5 linked regions of the Coturnix japonica genome follow. The protein of the gene in region 1 interacts with the protein of each later gene in a pairwise test. Links are inferred from orthologs where the notes say so. Each region holds a gene or a part of one and is shown in the gene's direction. Other genes may lie near its edges.

The links.
Region 2: the proteins of PTN (region 1) and TAF1D interact in a two-hybrid assay, tested with the Homo sapiens proteins (2 studies listed by BioGRID and IntAct). The link is inferred for Coturnix japonica from reciprocal best matches to the Homo sapiens genes PTN and TAF1D.
Region 3: the proteins of PTN (region 1) and SGTA interact in a two-hybrid assay, tested with the Homo sapiens proteins (2 studies listed by BioGRID and IntAct). The link is inferred for Coturnix japonica from reciprocal best matches to the Homo sapiens genes PTN and SGTA.
Region 4: the proteins of PTN (region 1) and DNAJB11 interact in a two-hybrid assay, tested with the Homo sapiens proteins (2 studies listed by BioGRID and IntAct). The link is inferred for Coturnix japonica from reciprocal best matches to the Homo sapiens genes PTN and DNAJB11.
Region 5: the proteins of PTN (region 1) and UBQLN4 interact in a two-hybrid assay, tested with the Homo sapiens proteins (2 studies listed by BioGRID and IntAct). The link is inferred for Coturnix japonica from reciprocal best matches to the Homo sapiens genes PTN and UBQLN4.

What each region holds. Positions count from the first base shown.
Region 1 is NC_029516.1:54,708,107-54,712,112, reverse strand, and holds the start of PTN (pleiotrophin), read left to right. Parts: upstream 1-1,198; 5' UTR 1,199-1,519; intron 1,520-4,006.
Region 2 is NC_029516.1:166,172,866-166,177,052, forward strand, and holds the start of TAF1D (TATA box-binding protein-associated factor RNA polymerase I subunit D), read left to right. Parts: upstream 1-1,374; 5' UTR 1,375-1,484; intron 1,485-1,804; 5' UTR 1,805-1,817; coding exon 1,818-2,044; intron 2,045-2,129; coding exon 2,130-2,586; intron 2,587-2,713; coding exon 2,714-2,889; intron 2,890-3,307; coding exon 3,308-3,368; intron 3,369-3,683; coding exon 3,684-3,797; 3' UTR 3,798-4,187. UniProt on the Homo sapiens protein: Component of the transcription factor SL1/TIF-IB complex, which is involved in the assembly of the PIC (preinitiation complex) during RNA polymerase I-dependent transcription.
Region 3 is NC_029543.1:2,300,410-2,303,232, forward strand, and holds part of SGTA (small glutamine-rich tetratricopeptide repeat-containing protein alpha), read left to right. Parts: coding exon 1-85; intron 86-809; coding exon 810-914; intron 915-1,103; coding exon 1,104-1,242; intron 1,243-1,843; coding exon 1,844-1,906; intron 1,907-2,333; coding exon 2,334-2,371; intron 2,372-2,823. UniProt on the Homo sapiens protein: Co-chaperone that binds misfolded and hydrophobic patches-containing client proteins in the cytosol. Mediates their targeting to the endoplasmic reticulum but also regulates their sorting to the proteasome when targeting fails.
Region 4 is NC_029524.1:3,286,705-3,290,218, forward strand, and holds part of DNAJB11 (dnaJ homolog subfamily B member 11), read left to right. Parts: intron 1-786; coding exon 787-884; intron 885-1,232; coding exon 1,233-1,365; intron 1,366-1,503; coding exon 1,504-1,646; intron 1,647-1,987; coding exon 1,988-2,070; intron 2,071-2,618; coding exon 2,619-2,676; intron 2,677-3,225; coding exon 3,226-3,337; intron 3,338-3,514. UniProt on the Homo sapiens protein: As a co-chaperone for HSPA5 it is required for proper folding, trafficking or degradation of proteins.
Region 5 is NC_029540.1:77,965-82,067, reverse strand, and holds the start of UBQLN4 (ubiquilin-4), read left to right. Parts: upstream 1-1,301; 5' UTR 1,302-1,331; coding exon 1,332-1,475; intron 1,476-3,311; coding exon 3,312-3,463; intron 3,464-4,103. Other genes in the region: ragulator complex protein LAMTOR2, read right to left, coding at 1-38, 277-366, 759-921, 1,036-1,103. UniProt on the Homo sapiens protein: Regulator of protein degradation that mediates the proteasomal targeting of misfolded, mislocalized or accumulated proteins.

The sequences.
Region 1 (4,006 bases):
TACGTGGTGCTTGGACTGCCAGAATTTCATTGAGAAGCCCTCAGGAAGGTACAAGCTGGCTATCAGGTATCTCTATTCAGCTTTGCATAGTCTGAAACATGAACGTGAAGTGTAGTATTGAGTGCTCATTTCCACTCGGCCAGCTGTTAGAAGGAATGTTCTCTCCTTCTCAAGTCACCACTTTACACTGCAAATCAAAGCTGTTGTTTTAACTTACATCACTGTCATTAAATCTGCCAGTGGTGCAAATCCTTAACAACCATGCCAGGACTAAACACATAACTGCATGATGAAAAGAAGATGCCAAGGTGTGGATGGAAGGGAATAGTTTACTTTACTAAGAAAGACTCCAGGTGGGTGCAATTGCCCACGCTGGGACCAGCCACACAGTGCTTTCCATTGTCACAGATGGTAGGTGTTAGATGATGCAATGCGTACGGTGCCAGACAAATTACTTTTTTAGCTCATTCCTCTGGAAACAGGAGAGGAATCTGAACTGGATTTCTGTGCAGACCTGGAGCAGGAGACGCAAGCTGAGACCCAAGCAGTCAATGGACTCAGTCTTTCAAATCGAGAGAGAGAATTGCTCTGGGGATCAGGAATTAGACAGAAATTGCCTGGACTTTGGAACAAGTCCACTTTGTTCTAAACCAAGCTGTGGGTTGGGGGTACATTCTTATTCAATGCATGTAATGAACCTAGAAGTTGGAAAACTTGGGGGGAAAAAAAAAAAAAAAAAAAAAAAAAAAGTGGAAACCTTGATATAACTCCAGTAACCAGAAGTATTTGAATGCCACGAGAAAAGCTGTTCTTGTGGCATTTTCAGCTAGGGCTGAAATTAGATGCTGTTCCCCCCACAACCCAGTATTTCCAGTCCAAGTCTAAGTGGGACACTGCAAGTAGAATTAGAGCTCCCCGTGCTCCTGCCAGCCAAGTCCTCTCCAGGCAAGATCCAATTGGTGCCCATTAGGAGGCTGTAGCCTCAAGCAAGGCTGAGAGTGGAGGGGCAGGCAGGGAGGGCACTGTCCGGTCCCGGTGCGGGCGGAGAACACTCTTCCCTCAGCGGGGGCTCCCCGGGACCCGGTGTGCGGGCGGAGCGGCCCCGTCCCGCCCCCCTACACCCCCCTCGGGCGGTGGAGGCGAGGCTGCCCCGCGGGTGACCCGCCCGACGGCGCGCCCCCGCCGCATCATCACACGAGGGGGCAGCGCGGCCGCTAGCTCTGCCCCGGCGCCCGCCTGCCTCTGCCTCCCTCCTCTCGGCGGCTCGCCGCAGCCCGGGCTCTGTCGAGTCAAAGCGAGGATCAGGTTCCCTGCCTCCAGTATAAAAATCTCAGGGAAGAAATCTCCAGCGGGAGAGAGAGACGGGGCGCGGGAGAAGAGGGGAGTGAGTCGAAGGTCCGTGGGGAAGCGGAGCCGCATCGCCGGCAGCACCCGCAGCACCAGCAGCACCCGACGCGCACCAGGGACGCTCGCGGCTCGCCCCTTACTGCTGCGGGAGAAGCGCTTCTCGCCGCCCGAAGTAAGTCCGAGGGGACGGCGAGGGCTGCCAGGGGCTGCCAGAGGGACGCTGCTCCCCGAGCCCGCTCCTTCGGGCGAGATGCGAAGCGCTTCCCCCTCTCACCCCGCTCCCAGGGACTCTCCCTGATACTTCCTTGTCTCCTCTGATCTCCCCGCCCCGGGGGTGATTGGGGAACACCTGGCAGAGGGGCAGGTTGGGGCTGAAGTCTGGGGTTGCTCTGGGGTGGTGGGGTGCTTCGGGATCGCACGTGCGTTTGGCCGCTCGATTCGGGATGGGGATGTGTCGGGATGTGGGAGCGATAAAGAGGATAAAGAAGGAGAGGGGTGGTGAGGGGACGTGACACAGCAGAGAAGGGAACAGGAGTTCTCTGGCTGATCCAATTTGAGAGGACAGAAGGGGAGCAGTGATTCCAGGGCAGCAGAACTCCTGCAGCTTCCAGGTGCTCTGTGCCAGGAGTGTCCCGACTGAGACTGGATAACCGAGGTTGCATTGTACCGTCGGCCTGAGCACTACTCTCTATTGCTATTATATTTTCCGTTGTACTTAGCCTTATTTCTACTTTTCTCCCGCAGAAACAACTGAATCTAACTAGTGCTGATTTATTTATAGCTACTGTTGTTAGTTTGTGTTCTCTTTCTTCTGGAGGGATGGGTGGGGAGAAAGTCCCATTAAAAATACAGTTTTCTTCTATTCAGAAAACGGATTCTCCCACACTTTTTATATAGCCAGTGGGTGTCATATACCTATCTCTTCTGCATGGCAAGTGATCCACTTTGGTTGTGAATGCCTACTGTGTGTTAGTTCAGCAGTTTACTCTGAAGCTGGATTACAGTATAGACTAACTGGTTCTTAGGAGCATTGTGGAAACGTTTGCAACGTGTTAAATCCTTCTCTGTGAGATAACTCTGCAGCTATGGATAGTGGTATGTTTTTAAAGTAGATCCTATTTACTCTAAATGGCTTGTAGTACAGTGGAAGAATACTACCATCAGCTCTTGAACTTGCTGTCATTTCCTTTGTTACCCTTTGGCCATGACTATTCTAAGCTTTTAGCAAAGAAGTTCAATGTTTTGGTCAACAGAGTAAGTGTATAACTTTGGTTGCATTAGGGAGCAATAGAGAAGGAACAGAGGGAGGAGGGAAAGGTACAAGAAAAGTCATGGTAAAGAAATTCTTGTGCTTTATGTTTTCAAGACGATGTGCTTGAGCTGGTGTACAAAGCAAACTTATTCTTTTTTTTTTTTTTTTTTCCCAAATGTATTTCTGTTTCCTCCCTGAAAAGAAACAGCCTGGAAATAAAACAGAAGAGAAAAAAAAAAACTCTGAAAAGAATAACCTATGAAAGGATAAGGGAATGTGAATATCTGTGACAAAAACTATTAATTTGGTATAGAGGTGAAAATGTAGAAGTGAGTGGAGAAGGTACTTCATTGGAAATGATAAACGAAACTAACAAACAAACAAAAAAGCCTCAGCAACAAAAAACCTGCTGTGTAATTCAGAGGTTTTTCCTTAAAGAGAAGGAAAATGAGGGGATCTAAGGATCTAATATACCCATCTCCAGCTTACACTGAACTCTTTGATGAGTTATTACTTATGGAGCTTTGGGTGAAATTGAAGGAGAGAAGCTTACTGATTTTAGCATGCTTCAAAGCAAAATCTAAGATTAAAAAATGGAAGTTAGCAACAAATATTTCTTCTTCCAACAGGTTATTCTTGGTCTGTAGTGCAGAGACGGCCTGACTAAAGCATACTTCTTGCAGTTATCCCGCTGCTAATCAACAGTTCTTTGAGATTCACTCTGTAGCTGATATATCTTTGCCAGCTATGTTGGTTTGGCTACAGTAATATAAAACATAGTGGTATCCTGGTACCATATACCTGTATTCCACTACACTCCAACTGGCACTAAGGACTCACCTGTGCTAATGTATGTTTTGCGTAGGTTCATCTTTTCCTTGCTGGCGTGTTTTATTACTTAGCTGACTTGTGACATTCATGGTTCCAGCATGGTTCTTCTTTTTCAAGTCATATGTTTCTTTTTCATGTTAGGGGCGGTTATTCCAGAGTCCTCAGATGATAATTAAAAAGTCTTTTACAGTCACTCAACTCTTGCTCTATTTGAGTGCATTTTTTTTTGCAGCAGGAAATAGGATTATTGTATGTTCAAGTAGAACACTGGGGCATTAGGTTTGGAATGGACATTGCTCATGCAACTTAACGCTCTGTTCAGGGGGCCTCATTACCTATACTGTAACAGTGGTGTTTTCTGTGGGAACTGGTTTTTAACAATGCAAGCTTTGCTTCGATATTTACAACCTCTTGCTGATCAGTGTATCAAAAGCATTTTCATTGAGAGGATTCATTTCAGGACTTTAATTGAGGAAGTCTCTTTGTTTCAAGTCTCTTTATAATAAACCATTCAAAATGCTGTCTTTGAACAAACTAGGTCACTGTAACGCACGCACACACACAGTGATTCTCATC
Region 2 (4,187 bases), about 110 Mb from region 1:
ATCTGTCAACAAAGATAATGGTTTAGTAATTAAAAACACACTGCTTTCAATATGCAATTTATCTGTCAAATTCACCCGAGAATACATAGATAACAGTAGAATTGTTATTATACCATTGAGGGAAAAACTGACAGCTTCAAGATTAGTGTTTTCTCATGGTTTAGTGGCAGCTATTAGTGGTTTAGTGGCAGCTATTAGTAATATGTGGATGGTTGTACTGAATAATCTTTCAGGTCTTTTCTAACCTTGGTGATTTTATGATTCTATGTGCTTTGGAAGCAGGTGTGCCTACCAGCTCTGCAGCTGCTTCAGAGCATTACATCTGTTAGTCCTCAAACTTCCATCTCAGTACAGACAAAATATGTAATACGCTGAACCTAATTCAAGGGACAGGTCAGTTATCTGTCCTTTGTAAACCCAAAGCCACGCTTTTCTAAGCACAATAACTGCCTTACCCGGTCTTCACTACCTTAATGTTTACTTTTCCAGCATTGGCTATGATGGACTTTCAACCTTGGCTCCCAGTTTCTTATAGGCACGTGTTTCCAAAGTGGAAGAAGGTTGTAGTGCATCTCAAAGCCAAACAAAGGCACCAAAGCAGCAGCAAGTTGTACAGCACTGGACTCTATATCAGCTCAGAGCCTTTCACAGCAAGCTTTGTTCAGAACAGAAATGTTGGAGCTTCTTTTGAAACGAGCTATATTTCAGTCATGCAACAGCATAACCTGCTACGAGGGCAAACCAGCAGCTCCAGGCACAAGCAGCTGGTTACATGCTACCTATAAACCAGCCCCAGAAATCATTAACTCCTTAGGCACACGCCTGCTGCACGTAACAAAATAGGAACCTTTCATGGAAGAAAAAGCGAGACTTTGAGCTCAAAGTTCAGCTACCTCAAGTTCTGCCTGTAACAAGCAATAGAGCAAGAAAGCAAGCTGTCTATGTAGAGTGATTTCCATCTTAGCTGGGGGCTCGTCCGCTTCTATGGGCGATTCTCCCTTCTGTGAAGGAAGCTGTCACAGGAACGCTGCAAACGGGATGGCAGGAAACAACCGACACGTCGAGACACTGCGGCTTTTCTTTTCCAAGCAGGAAAGGGCAGAAAACGGAAAGGAGAAGTTAATGGCTGGATAGAAACGCTTCATAGCGGGGGGCTGGGGGGAGAAGGAAGCACAGCCAGAGCCACAGAGCCAACAGGGACAGCGCCAACGTGCAGATGAACTCAGCAGAGAAGCGAGAAGGGAAATTCAGGCCACGTAAACGAGGGTAAAAAGAGTCTAAAAAGAGTCCCGGAGCCAAACCTGCAGGAGCCACCCTCTGGAGACCCACAGCGAGCGGGAACCGCAGCCAATGCCCACAACCTGCGGCCGCCCATCCCCGCCCCCCTCACGGCACTCCCCGCCCCGTCCTGCTCTCGCGAGAGCCGAGCGCTATTTAAGCTCGGGGGCGGCCATTGCGCGCCCTTTCCGGAGGTGAAGCGTGAGGTGAGTGTTGGGTTGGTGATGGCGGTGCGCTGAATCCGCTGCCATCCGCCGTGTGAGGACCCGCTGTGAGGCTGGGGTAGAATCAAAGCACATCCTGTCGCTGAGCGATTCCTAGACGGAGCGCAAGGAAGGCCCTGGGGCGGGTGGGATGTGGGAAATGGGCTCCTCATGGCGGCCCGGGGCTGTGGTAGAGCGGCGGGAACCGCGCAAAATGTCCGCCCCGGGATGGTGGGCGGGAGGGGGCTACTGTGAGGGAGACACATACGTTCCTTGGATGTGAAAAGCTTTGCCTGGGGTAAAACATATTTAATTTCTTTCAGGGCAGATTAAAACATGAGTGATACAGATGAATCCCACACCTCTTGTTCTGATGATCCTGATGCTCAGAGTCTCGTATCCACTCAGAGGCGAAAAAGATCTAAAATACCTGAGCGTGCAGTGAATGCAAGGAAGAGACGTTTGTGCTCGAGGCAGAAGGACGCCACTCCTGAGGAGTCTTCAGATGAGACTAGTAGTACAAATACATCTTCATCTGAGGTGGATAGCAGCGATTCAGAAATGTGAGTTACCTGGTTCCTTAGAATCACTTACGAACAAGACTCATAAACGTATGTGCTCTGTTGAATGTACACGTTTCTTTTTCAGTGATGTTTCAGCTGCTCGGGGCAGCAAACGCTCTAGGAAATGCACTGCTCCCTCTGCGGAGCAAAAGAGGAGATCGCAGCCTTCAAGGAAACAAGCAGGAGCTGATGCACGAGTGTCTGATGGTGAAAGTCCTGACTCTTTGCTCCCTGAGAGCCCGGTGAGGCCACCTGAACCCTCCCAAAGGAGGAAATCCAAGCTCGATTTGAAAGCCATTTTTGCCTATCACTTCAGAGGAAGGAAGTTTAAAACTGCTGCGCACCGAAGATACAGGAGCGGTGTTTCACGGAAGACAAAGAGACGCTCGGAACCCCCAAAGAAGCGTGGTGGGAATCGGCCCATGACAGCCCCGCCTCAGGAGCGAAGGAGAAGGCTTCGGGATCCAGGCTTTCAGTTCCCTTTTGTTGAAAAACATTATGGGAGGAAACATATTCCCGTAAATATGGTTCTTAGCTATGAGGTGAGCCCTGTGTTTTGTGGGAGAGAACCAGCTGACCTAAGGCTGTCATTTAATGTTACAGTCTGGTTGATTATATAAATGGTTCATTTCTTTGTTTGTATTTAAGATCTATTCCTTTTTTTTGCAGCAAGCAGCTGCGAAGGGATATTTCCAGTATGTTGAAATGCTTAAAGCTGAAGAACACCTCAAAAAGGCTTTGAAATCCCTTGAAGCAAATGAAGACTTAGAAAGGGAATGTCTGACAGCGCGGAAACATAAATATTTAGATGACAAAGGCCCCATTTCTCCTATCCAGGAGACAAAGTAAGTTCATTTTCAGTAGTATAAAAGTTGCTGTTTTGTTCTCAACTTAAAGTCTGTGTGTTCAGCATTGCTGTCTTTATTGTCTGGCACGTGCATTATATTAATTGGTGAAATACCTCTTGGATTTTTCTGTAACTCAGTAATGGATTCTGTTGGCTTAGCACTGCTGTGTTGTGTGCTCTCTCCTCATCCTTAAAAGAGCAGAGAGAGAAAATAAGTAACAGCTCATGGCTTTAGATAAGGATCTTGTTCCACAGGCTCTCAGTGTAGCCTCATGTAGAAGTGGGAGCATCCCAGACCTGTAAGCTGTAGCGTTTCCATATGCATTATGAGGAAGTGGTGCTGCATTAGGAGAACAGCTTGTTTATGCTGCGCTACTGTAGAAGTACAGATTTGATTTGAATTTCCTGCCTTTCAGCAATGACGATGATAACTGCTTGGGCTCTGATAATCCAGAAGACTTTGATGTCAGAGTAGTGGTGAGTAAACATCCATAATTTGAAAACTATAACCTGTTTTCTCTTTTGAGGTGTTAAATAAGTAACAGATGATGCTTTGAGTACTTAATTCTTGAGCTTGGATCTGGAATTAACCAGTTTGTGTGGTTTTGGTGTGTAGTACAAGAGGAAATTGGTTTGAGAGAAGTCTGAGCTCTTTGGAATTATGTTGGGATGTGCGGAAATTGGGCAGTTCTCTGAAGCGTCCATAAAACTTCCTAAAGGAAGTTAGTAATAAATTGGTACTTCAAGTGTCTCCAAACCAGACTTGAGAATGCTGTTTTTTTTTGTTCTCAGGACAAAAGCTGTTTCATTATAAGCAGCAAAATTCCCAACAAGAAGAAGAAATCAAAGGCCAAAACAAAGCGAGCAAAGTCAGCTGGAGTGATTGAAGAAGAATGCTGCTGCTAAGTGATCCTGCTGAAATAGCACCTTCCGCAGCCTGGCTTGTGGAACCAGCAGGTCACAGAGCTACAGGACTAAGAGTTCCAGCTCTTGTAATTAAGCAGTGTAGAATAAACTAATTCTCCTAAATCCAATATCATAATCTCAAGCTGCTTTAAAACAACTAGCAGTGTGATGAAAAGTTCTATTCCCTTCTTCCCCTCCTCAGTCCAGAGTGGGGTCTTACGAAGGTGACTGAGCAGAGATAGAAGCCCTTCAGCACAACAGGGACTATCTGCTGATCTTGTAGCATGAATGGGAACTTGTTGCGGTTGCTCAGACTAGATGTAGGAGTGGGGTTCTGGCAGGGTAATGCAGTGAGGTGGGTGTGGAGTCCTGCTCATTCTGCAGTTCACG
Region 3 (2,823 bases), on another chromosome or scaffold:
AGGCAGAGAACTTTGAAGCTGCTGTGTCTTTCTATGGGAAAGCAATTGAGTTAAATCCATCCAACGCTGTGTATTTTTGCAACAGGTACTGCTTCTTTCTTCCCTTGCACACCAGTGGTTTTGGCCCTTACTTCAAGCTCAAAATCCACCTTTTAAAGTGTTGTAGGCCACTTGTTCCATCGCTTGCTCTATGTGGTGCTTTTGCTTTTGTTTTTTCTTTAGCTCAATGACTTGCTCTTGGCAGCTCCATGCCCTGGCACTTCTCAATAGGATGTGGGTGTGGAAACAAACTCTTCAGCATTTTTAGGAGAGATAAAAGGGTTCCAAGGGACGCCGCCTGCTTTCATACAATTAACTCTTTAAGTAAAACAGAGGGCTGGGATTTGAAAGGCCTTGTTGAAAACAAAAGCAAAGGAGTAAAGTGAGGCAAGCTGAAGGCCTGCTATCAAGAACCTTATGTGGAGGGTATGGGAAAATGGGAGAGGGGGTCCTTATGGCTCAGAAATGGAGATGTAACGGAGGCTGAGAGATCAGACTGAGCCAGGGATGGGATGCTTTCCTGCTTCCTTCCTCTTGGAAGGCCTGTAAGGAGGAGTGAGAGCTCAGATCTGTTTGCAGTAGGACTAGAAGGTGAAAGCTGAGTGTTTGGATAGCGACCTGCTCATGTAGGCACAGCCTGGATTTATGTCAAGTTCACACTTTGACTTTCCCTTTAGAGCAGGAGGCTGCAGAGAGGGAGCAGAGGTGACCTTGATCAGCACATTCAAGCTGATAAGTGTTTTCTGCCCATCTTTTCTTCTTCTCTCCAGAGCTGCTGCGTACAGTAAATTAGGAAATTATGCTGGAGCAGTCAGAGACTGCGAAAGAGCAATAGGCATCGATCCAAACTACAGCAAAGCTTACGGCAGAATGGGGTAAGTACGAGAGCAGGTTTTTGTGCCAGAATTGTAGTCTCAAAGTGCTTTGTGGTAATTACACTATCAGCAATGTTCTGCCCTGGAATGCCGTGTAGAAATACCTGGTGTTTCACCTCTGCTGGGGGTGGAGGAAGGCTGCGAGTGCTTATCTCCCTCTTTGACTTTCTTTTATTTCCCCTTTAATAGCTTGGCTCTCTCCAGTTTAAATAAACACACAGAAGCTGTTGTCTACTACAAAAAAGCTCTGGAGCTCGATCCAGACAATGACACGTATAAATCCAACCTTAAAATAGCTGAACAGAAAATGAAGGAGACTCCCAGTCCGGTAAGTGCTGAAATCAATGCTTAAGTGTGGATGAGATTGAATGGAGATTTCTTTACTGTGCTGCTGCAGGTGCTGGCAGGAGCTCGGTTGTGTTTAGAATACAGCTCTTGCATGCAGATAGATGGAGGGGGGATGATTAATGAGTGCTGCTGTGACCCCCCCCAATAAAAAACCCAGAGAGAGCAACTTGTGTGCTGTGCTGGCACGCAGTCACCTTGGGCTGGGAAGTGAGGCTGATTAGAAGGAGCTTTTAGAAACACTATTTTAGTATCTTAAAGGGGATTTCTGCCTTTTAGAGCCTCCTGTAGCACGGAGGTGGGCAGGTGGGTGTGTTTGACTTGGCAGGTGTGGTGGGTTGGGGCAGGACGTCACTAGCACGGCTGGGCTGGTGCAACAATGCGTGTGATGCCATCATTGCTATCAGCATGTGCCCTTTGCCTCCCTGAGTGAGCTGATCCCCATCCTGCCCTTTGTCATGCTTTAAAGACCAGCTTCTGATAACACTGGGAGCATCGAGGTACCATTCATTGCAGCGTGCTGTTTATTGCATCAGAAAGTGAGAGGATGTCACCACCCACGTGTGGTGTCTTTATTCTTACAGACCGGAGGTCCCGGAGGATTCGATTTAGCTGGCTTGCTGAACAACCCTGGCTTCATGAGTATGGTAAATGCGGGCACAGATCACAGCCAGGCTGTACTCAGTCTGTGCATTTATCCATTAAAGATGAAACGTTTTGGGACGTGGAGTGGGGTGTTCCTGTGTCTCATGAGCAGCTTTGCTGTCGTTTCTTGGTGTTGCTGCGAGGAAGCTGTGCTTGTATTTTGCACCCAAGTCAAATAAAGAGCCAGTGACTTATTCACAGGCTGCTCCTTGTGACGTGCTGGGTGTGGAAAGGGTGCCTGTTCTGCATTACCAGCCTTGTCTTGTGTGTTGCACTGTGCTTCTCTTTGCTATTTTTGTCCTATTGATCTGTTTCCAAGTATTTCTGCCTTCGCTTTGTTCCTAGTTGAATGGCACAACATCTGCATATCTACCCAGGCATTTCTGACTAAATAGGGTGTCATTTTTTTTTCTTCCCCTCTTTAAATAGGCATCTAACCTAATGAACAATCCACAAGTACAACAGCTGTAAGTTTGATCCCGCGTTCTCTTTCCTCTTTGAGTCACTCCTTTGAGGCTGTGGTGGGAGGGGGGTGGGTGCTGGAACCAGAAATGTGGAAGGCAGCCCTTAAAGCAGCCGTGAACCAGTGTGTGTTTTGAGTACTCTGGGCTGTGTTGAAGAGGAACCTCAATAGGAGGCATCTCACCCTCTGTTAGAATATCTCTATTCCTTGTAATGCAGAGTTATGGGGATCAATTCACATCTGTCCGAAAGCTGAGACAATATAAAACCATGAAGTGAATAAAGCCTCTCCAGTCTGTCCCTTCAGAGCTCAGGCAGTCAGTGGAGCCCTTCTGGAGCTCAGCCTTACTGTATGAGGCAGCCCTGCTACAAAGCCAAACATCTGCCACCATTTCCATTTGCTTCTGCCTGCTCCTTCCACTCCTGTTGTCAGCTGAGGTTCTGTGCCAGGTGCAGC
Region 4 (3,514 bases), on another chromosome or scaffold:
GCTGCCTTTCATCATTAAACCAGCTTTTCTCCAGCTGTTTCCATTCCTCTCTGAAATCTAACCTGGCAACTTCAGCCTTCCAAAAAATAGCCAGTGGGCCAGGAAAGGGAAGGAAGGCAAAATCTGGCTGGAAATCTGTGGAGTGGAGAATAAAAGCAAAGATAATACCTAGGAATTAAAACTGAAGCTTTGTGACCTTGAGTGCTGTCTATTGGGATGCACTGTTCTACCTCAGGACTGAGATTGCTCCTGAATTTTGCTGCCCATAGGAACTGAGTCAGTGTTGAAGTTGGTGTGGAGTTATTGTACTCAGCAGGTTCAGCTTGGTAGGCAAACTTGCTGTCATTGCTAATAATTATGAACTATGTGTCAGATAAATGAATTCCACGTGCTTAAAGAACTGAGAAACCAGGGCTCTATTACATGTTACGTGATTTTCTTCTTTTCACAGAGGAGCAGTTCCTGCTTTGTAAGACATGATTTTGAGTTATTATCCCCTTCTGAGTCTCTCTCAACTCATTCAGAGTAAACTCAATATATTTTTAATATCCTCTGTGTTGCATCTGCCATTTTAATATATTAATTCTAACTTTTATGAGGTTAAACAACACAAGAAATGTTTAATTTCCAAGCACAGCAGGCAAGTTCTAGCCAATGCTTCTGTGCTGTAATGCACTTCTACTTGCCCCCCATCTAAGAGCTCTGAAAAGGCTCCTCTTTGAGCTTTGTGTAAGCATCCAGGTGCCCTGTGGGTGAACACCTTGTCCTTCTGTGTCCTCTTGCCAGGTGCTGTCAGATGAGGAGAAGAGGAAACAGTACGATGCGTATGGCGAGGAGGGGTTGAAGGATGGGCACCAGAGTTCCCATGGAGACATCTTCTCACAGTAAGGAGGTTTTACCTGTTTGAGTTATTTCACAGTCAGAGCTTTAATTCTGTGATGCTTGTGCGTGAATTTGATGCGGGTCAATTCAGTGTTAAGACCTCGCACCTAGTCAGGAGGCAGTGACAGTTAAGGATATGAAGAAATGCACACATATTCCACATGTTGTTCTTGTGTGTCTTGTCTTGGTCCCATCTCCAAGATCAGTGAATTGAAACCAGCGTTGTCTTCCCACATAAACAGCTTGGTTTTCCTAAGCAAAGAAATCTCAGGCACCCGTTGGTCCTGCCTTAGGTGGCTGGCTTCTTGGCCAGAATTCCTTCCAGAACTAACTGGTGTGTTTCTCTCCAGCTTTTTTGGGGACTTTGGATTCATGTTTGGAGGTAGCCCTCGCCAACAGGACAGGAACATCCCTCGGGGCAGCGACATCATTGTGGACCTGGAGGTTACACTGGAGGAGGTGTATTCAGGAAACTTCGTAGAAGTAAGTTTGCTGGCCTGTTGGTCTCTCCAATGTTACCAAGTTTCAGATGACTGGATTGGCTGCTGTATTCAGATTGTGTGATCAAGACCTGGGGTGCTGGCGTGTGTGCTGGTGTCAGCTTCTTCCTCTTGGTTGCAGGTTGTCAGGAACAAGCCAGTGGCAAGACAGGCACCTGGCAAACGGAAATGCAATTGCCGGCAGGAGATGAGGACCACACAGCTGGGCCCTGGGCGTTTCCAGATGACTCAAGAAGTTGTTTGCGATGAATGTCCCAATGTCAAGTGAGTTGTGCTCTTCAGTGCTATATGCTGTTAATTCAAAAACCTGCCACTAGAGGGAGAAGAGTGTCTGTACAACCAGGAATATCTGGGGAATATCAAAGCACTTAACACGGGTTTCTCGTTTCCAAGAAGACAGTCTTAATTATTAAAGTAGAAATGAGTAGATCTATTAGACGAAGAACTTACTCAATTTGTAAATAAGTGAGAAGGGCAGCATTTGGCTTCCAGCTCTAAGTGTAAGCAAGGAATGTGTCATTTGTAGGGGTGTTCTCATTTTCCAGTAACAAAGCAAATGCTACCACCTAATGCTGAAAACTGTGCTTGCATATTCCCCCTTGCAGGCTTGTGAATGAAGAGCGAACGCTAGAAGTGGAAATAGAGCCAGGTGTGAGGGACGGTATGGAATATCCCTTCATTGGTGAGGGTATGTATACGGGCAGTGCCCAGCTTATGACTTGCTTCTTTTCTCTAATACAAGGCTGATCTTTATGGCAGTGTGAAAGTGTCCCAGCTCTGCTTTAGGTAAATGTTCAGGACACGTTATGTGAAGTTCTGCATCCAGAGTGTGCTGCTCAAATCCAGTAGCCTGGTCTTTGCAAGTCTGGGTAACACTCTTGAGATTCTCTCCTTTTGTTAAGAAATATTAAAGAACATTTGCCCCATACTCCAGTATGTGAAGGAATCCCTCCTATAGAAGGAGGTTATGTCCTTTATTTATTAAAGGATGGTTCTCATTACTGCGCGGGCAGGTCTTCAGAACAGCAGAGAGGGGTGAATTTGAAGTAGCACTCTGAAAATCCTAAACTGTTTAGTAAAAGAAATACATGTCAGCAGGGTTTTAGTCACAAGAGAAACAACTGGTTGGTTTTTTTTTCCCTTTGACATATGAGCTGCAAATCTCTATTGTATTTAATATGCTGCTTGTCTCTTTAGCTGTTTCTGGCCGGATAAACAGCTCTTCTTCCTTCACAGGGGAACCCCATGTGGATGGGGAGCCAGGTGATTTGCGTTTCCGAATAAAGGTTCTCAAGTAAGTGACTGGCCTTGTTAGACCACTCTTTCTAGTTACTATCAAGGAACTTGCAAACAGTTTTCTGGCTAGTGTTGCCTGCTTGGCTTGTGTCTAGTTTATCCTTCAGTACAATCAGGGCTCAGGTATTCGGGACGGTGCAGGATGTTCAATCCTGAGGATTCTAGAGATTCACTGCTGTCACGATGCTGCAGTGGTATTCTACTTCTGTTTCCCTTGAATTCTGGCATAGATTAGTCCCTGCCTGAATCATGTGATATCTCCTTTTTCCATAAACATACTATTTCCCTATTGTAAGAAAATGTGCTGCAAGGAAAGACTGGATGAGTCACAATTTGACACTCCTTACCACTCACTGCTCTGGAAATAGAAAGGCTATAAGTAGGATGCTTTGCACACAGGAAAACAAAGCTAAGTTTCATTCATTCTTGACTTCCTCTCTGGTTTATGTGAAGTCTCCAATCTCTTTTCACAAATGGATGGGAGGAAGCTGGAGAATCTCCTTTTCCATGGGAAAAGGAGGAAAGCTACAATCTCTTATTTCCGCAGGCACCCAGTCTTTGAAAGAAGAGGAGATGACTTATACACAAACGTGACAATCTCGCTGGTCGAGGCACTTACAGGCTTTGAAATGGATATAGCCCACTTGGATGGGCACAAGGTGAGGAAAAGATTTGCTTTCTTGCTCTAAATAAGTAAAATCTACCTGCTGGCCTTTTCTGGTTGGCTTTGCTAGAGACCTCCAGACCAATTTATCCAGAGTCAAAACAGGCTTGGTACAAGGAGTGAATGATGAGGATCAAGGTTCCAGCCCATCAGAGTAGCAACTGCATGTGTT
Region 5 (4,103 bases), on another chromosome or scaffold:
GTCAGCGGCTCCTCCAGGTATTGCACCAGCGCCTGTGCCTGGGGCAGGGATGGTGGTGAGGGGTGCAGCCCCCAGCGCCCACATTCTGTGGGCAAACCCCCGTCCCACCCCAGCACCAATCTGGGACCCACGCAGACAGTTCCCATTTTGATTGCAATTCCTCCCCCATCTCTCCCATCCTCTTCCTCCCGGCTTTAACCCCGTGGCTCTTTCACACCTCACCGTAATGCAGCCCCCCACCCCCTCACCCCCATCCCCTCACCCCCATCCCCTCACCTTGGCTTTCAGCATCCCAAATCCCACCGTCTCCTTGGCGTACATGCACAGCAGGAGGTTCGCCACGCGGGTGATGGCCACGCGCCCCTCCTGCCGGAGAGAACCGGGGTCACACGGAGATTCAGGGGGTCACAGCGGGATTTATGGGGTCACAGTGGGATTTATGGGGTCACAGTGGGATTTATGGGGTCACATTGAGATTTATGGGGTCACATTGGGATTTATGGGGTCACACTGAGATTTATGGGGTCACACTGAGATTTATGGGGTCACACTGAGATTTATGGGGTCACATTGGGATTTATGGGGTCACACTGAGATTTATGGGGTCACATTGAGATTTATGGGGTTCACACGGACCCCTTGGGCTCCCACACAGAAGCTGCTGCTGAACACCTCGGATCCCACTGTGGGTGCTGCTGTGGGTCCCGCACACCGGGGGTCCCGCATGGATCCCGTGGGGTCCCGCAGCCGTTCCGTACCATGCAGTCCATGAGGATGAAGCGCAGGTTGTCCTCGTTGAACGCGTGGTGCCCGTTCTTGTCGTAGGCCACCCAGATGTTGCTGGCGATGGCCGCGGTCACGCGGGCGTCCGTGTCTCCGTATCCCGAGTAGGCCAAGAGCGAGCCCTCATTGTTCAGCAGCCTGCAACGGAGCGGGGAACGGTCAGCTCCGGGCCGAGCCCCGCCGTGACGGTACGGTCACATCACACCGCAATGACCGTACGGTCGCACCGCCCCCGGCCCCGTCCCCGCTCACAACGTGCTCTGGACGCCGCCGGTGTTGGCCTGGCTCAGCACCTGCGTCAGCGCTTTGGGCCGCAGCATGGCAGGCAGCGCGGGGCGCGGGGCCCGTTCCCGGTGTAGGCCGCCCCCGTTCGGTGTTTGCTGCCGTTCGGTTCCGTTCGGGGCGGTTCCGCGCTCCGTTCCGGTTCCGGTTCCGTCGCCTCTCGATCCTCCCCGCCGCCAGGGGGCGCTGTGCTGCGGCGCGGGCCGTGGCGGCGCTCTGTCCCGGCCTTTCTCTGTCGGCCAGGGCTGGCGGGGCGGGCGGCGAAGATGGCGGAGCCGAGTGGCGGCGGCGGGCCGGGCCCCGGCGGGTCGGAGCTGGGAGGTCCCGGCGGGGCGCTCATCCGCGTCACGGTGAAGACCCCCAAGGACAAGGAGGAGATCGTCATCGCCGACGGCGCCTCCGTGCGCGAGGTGGGGACGGGACGGAGGACGGGGCCTAGGCCTGAGCGCTGCGAGGGGCCGCGGGAGACACGGGCCGCGAGACCGAGGAGGGTGCGGAGCGGGAAGGTGGCGGGAGGGGTTGGGCGAGAATTGGAGGGAGGAACCTCGGGGGTGTGAGGAGCCGGGGGGGGGAAGGTTGTGAGGGGCGGGAGCGGAGCTGGGCTGAGCGGAGCTGGGGCCTCCCCGGCCATGGGGGGCGTGGGGCCGGGGTTGGGCTGCAGCGGAGTGACGGCGTGTGTTGTGCGGGAGCCGAGGGGCTGGAACCCGCCGGGGGGCGAGAACGGGGCGTTGTCGGGGCGGTGCGGGAGGGGGGGGCGGGATGTGCCGGTGGGAACGGGAAGGGGGGGCCGGGAGGGGTCTGCGGGCTGGGGGGGGTGTGAGGGGCACGGCCCGGGGGTTGTGCTGCTGGTAGTGGGGGTGTTGTGGGACAGCGGGGAGGCGCTGCGTGGGGCGGCTGGGCCTGGAGGGATCAGGGATCTTCTCCCTTAGGGCCCGGAGATGCCTCAGGTCAGGGCACATGGGGGCGCGGCTCCGGGGCTGGCAGGAGCTGCTGGAAGAGCAGCGGGAGCTGCAGCTTGGGGAGCTGAGAGGCAGCGGGTGGGTGCTGTGATGGGACGCGGCCCTGGGGCTGGGCTGCGGGGAGCTGTGGGGCAGTGGATGTGTGCGGTGGGGCTGAGGCCAGAGGCTGCTCTGTCCGTCCTTCTCAGACCTTTCATTTCTGCCTTTGGGGCAGAGGGAGAGTGAAGCAGAGGGAAGGGGACGTCAGACATGTGGGTTTGCTGTGAGCAGGGAGCTCCACAGGGGCACTGTGTGTTTGCAGGGCAGCAGAGGGTTCACAAGAAGCGTTGTGCAGGTGGCAGTGCCCGCCGGGGCAGAGTGGTGTCAGTGCTGTGGATCTTGGCTGTGTGTGTGTTTTGCTGTGTACTTTGATGTGGGCTTCAGGGCACGAGGTTGCAGCGTGTGCTGGGAGCTGGGCAGGAGCTGTGTGCTGTGCGTGGCCCTGCTGCTTCCCAGCCCTGTGCTGTCAGCGTGCAGAGCAGCGGGTGAAGCTTCACGCCCTGGGTCACTTCAGTGCCAGGGGTCCGTCCTCCCAGGCCCAGTTTTTCGGGAGTTCTGGACCATGGCAGCGAGCTGCCCCAGGAAAGCTGTGATCTTCTGCTCCCAGCCTTTCCATGTGGATTTCCTGAACTCTGTGGCTTCCAAATGCAAAGGTTTCTATTCTCACCTATTGACTCGGGGACGCCCCAGCTGAGCTGGCGGTGACAATCTTATTGGCAGGTGCTGGTCCCTCCCCATCACACAGCAGAGATGTTGGCAGTGGGTGCTGTGGATAGTCACAGGAATAGAAGACCTAGTTTACATCCATTGGCTGATAAAGGACTGTGCCCTTTTCCGCACAGCTCTGTCCTGTATTGAATCAGAGCTGGGCTTTCCTTGGGAAATAATAAGATGAGCGGAGGCAAATAAAGCTCAGTCATTCTGAAGATAAATGGTGGGTTTGGATCAGGCCTCAGGGGCTCGTTGGTTTTGAAGCCTTCAGCTCATCTCCAGGTGACTGTTGTGAACTTTACTCCCCACGTTCTGAAGCAGCTCAGTTGCTCAGCTTTGCTTTTTCCCCTCGTGTGCTCTCAGCAGCTGGTGCTGCATTGCTGCTATTGCAGGCAGCAATACCTCTGTTCTGTCGGGGTGCTGAAGCTCTGCTGGTTCCTTTCGCCGTTTGTGCAGTGAATGTTGGGTACCTGGAGCGTTACCTTCAGTTTCCTTCCTTTGCTCTTCTGCCTGAAAAGCGCCGGGTCTGTTTTTCAGTTCAAAGAAGAGATTTCCAGGCGGTTCAAAGCCAAACAGGATCAGCTGGTTCTGATCTTCGCTGGGAAGATCCTGAAGGACGGAGACACTCTGAATCAACACGGGATCAAAGACGGGCTGACCGTGCATTTGGTCATTAAGACTCCACAGAAGTAAGGAAGTGTTCCATCATGGGGGTCTGGGGGTGAGCGGGTGGTGGTGAGGCACGAGGGCTCTCCTTGCCACAGCTCTGCCCTACAGCTCTGGCTTTATCGTACAGCTCTGGCTTTATCGTACAGCTCTGGCTTTATCACTTGGCCCATCATTGCCCTGGGCTGTGCACCTGTGTGAACCTGCGGGGGGGGGGGGGTAAAAGCATCCTTAATGCAATTAGCATGCGTGGCTTTGTGTGTGCAGAGCCTTTACAACTGGCAGTCTGGGAAGAAGCCATTGGAACACGGTTGTGTCCTCCATCTGATAACGATGACTCACTGTTAGCAGAAATTACCTTCCCAGCTAATAGTAATGTGAAAGCAATACCCAGGGTTTATTTCACCTCCTGCTGTCTACCCTCACCCTGCAAACTGCGGTACCATCTCCGAAGGTAAGGAGAGCACTGTCCTGGCTTTTCATTTTATTCTCTACCTGCCGCAGAGAAGTGCTGACTGAAGGCATTACGGCCCCTTCCTTTGCTGAGAGAAACCAACTGCTCGTTCTCCTGCTTCCTTCCTTTTTTGGTTAAGTTTCCTATCTGCTTTGTCCCCCACTCCCACTCAGGGGTTTTCAGCGTCGCTCAGATGGGTCTGGAAAACA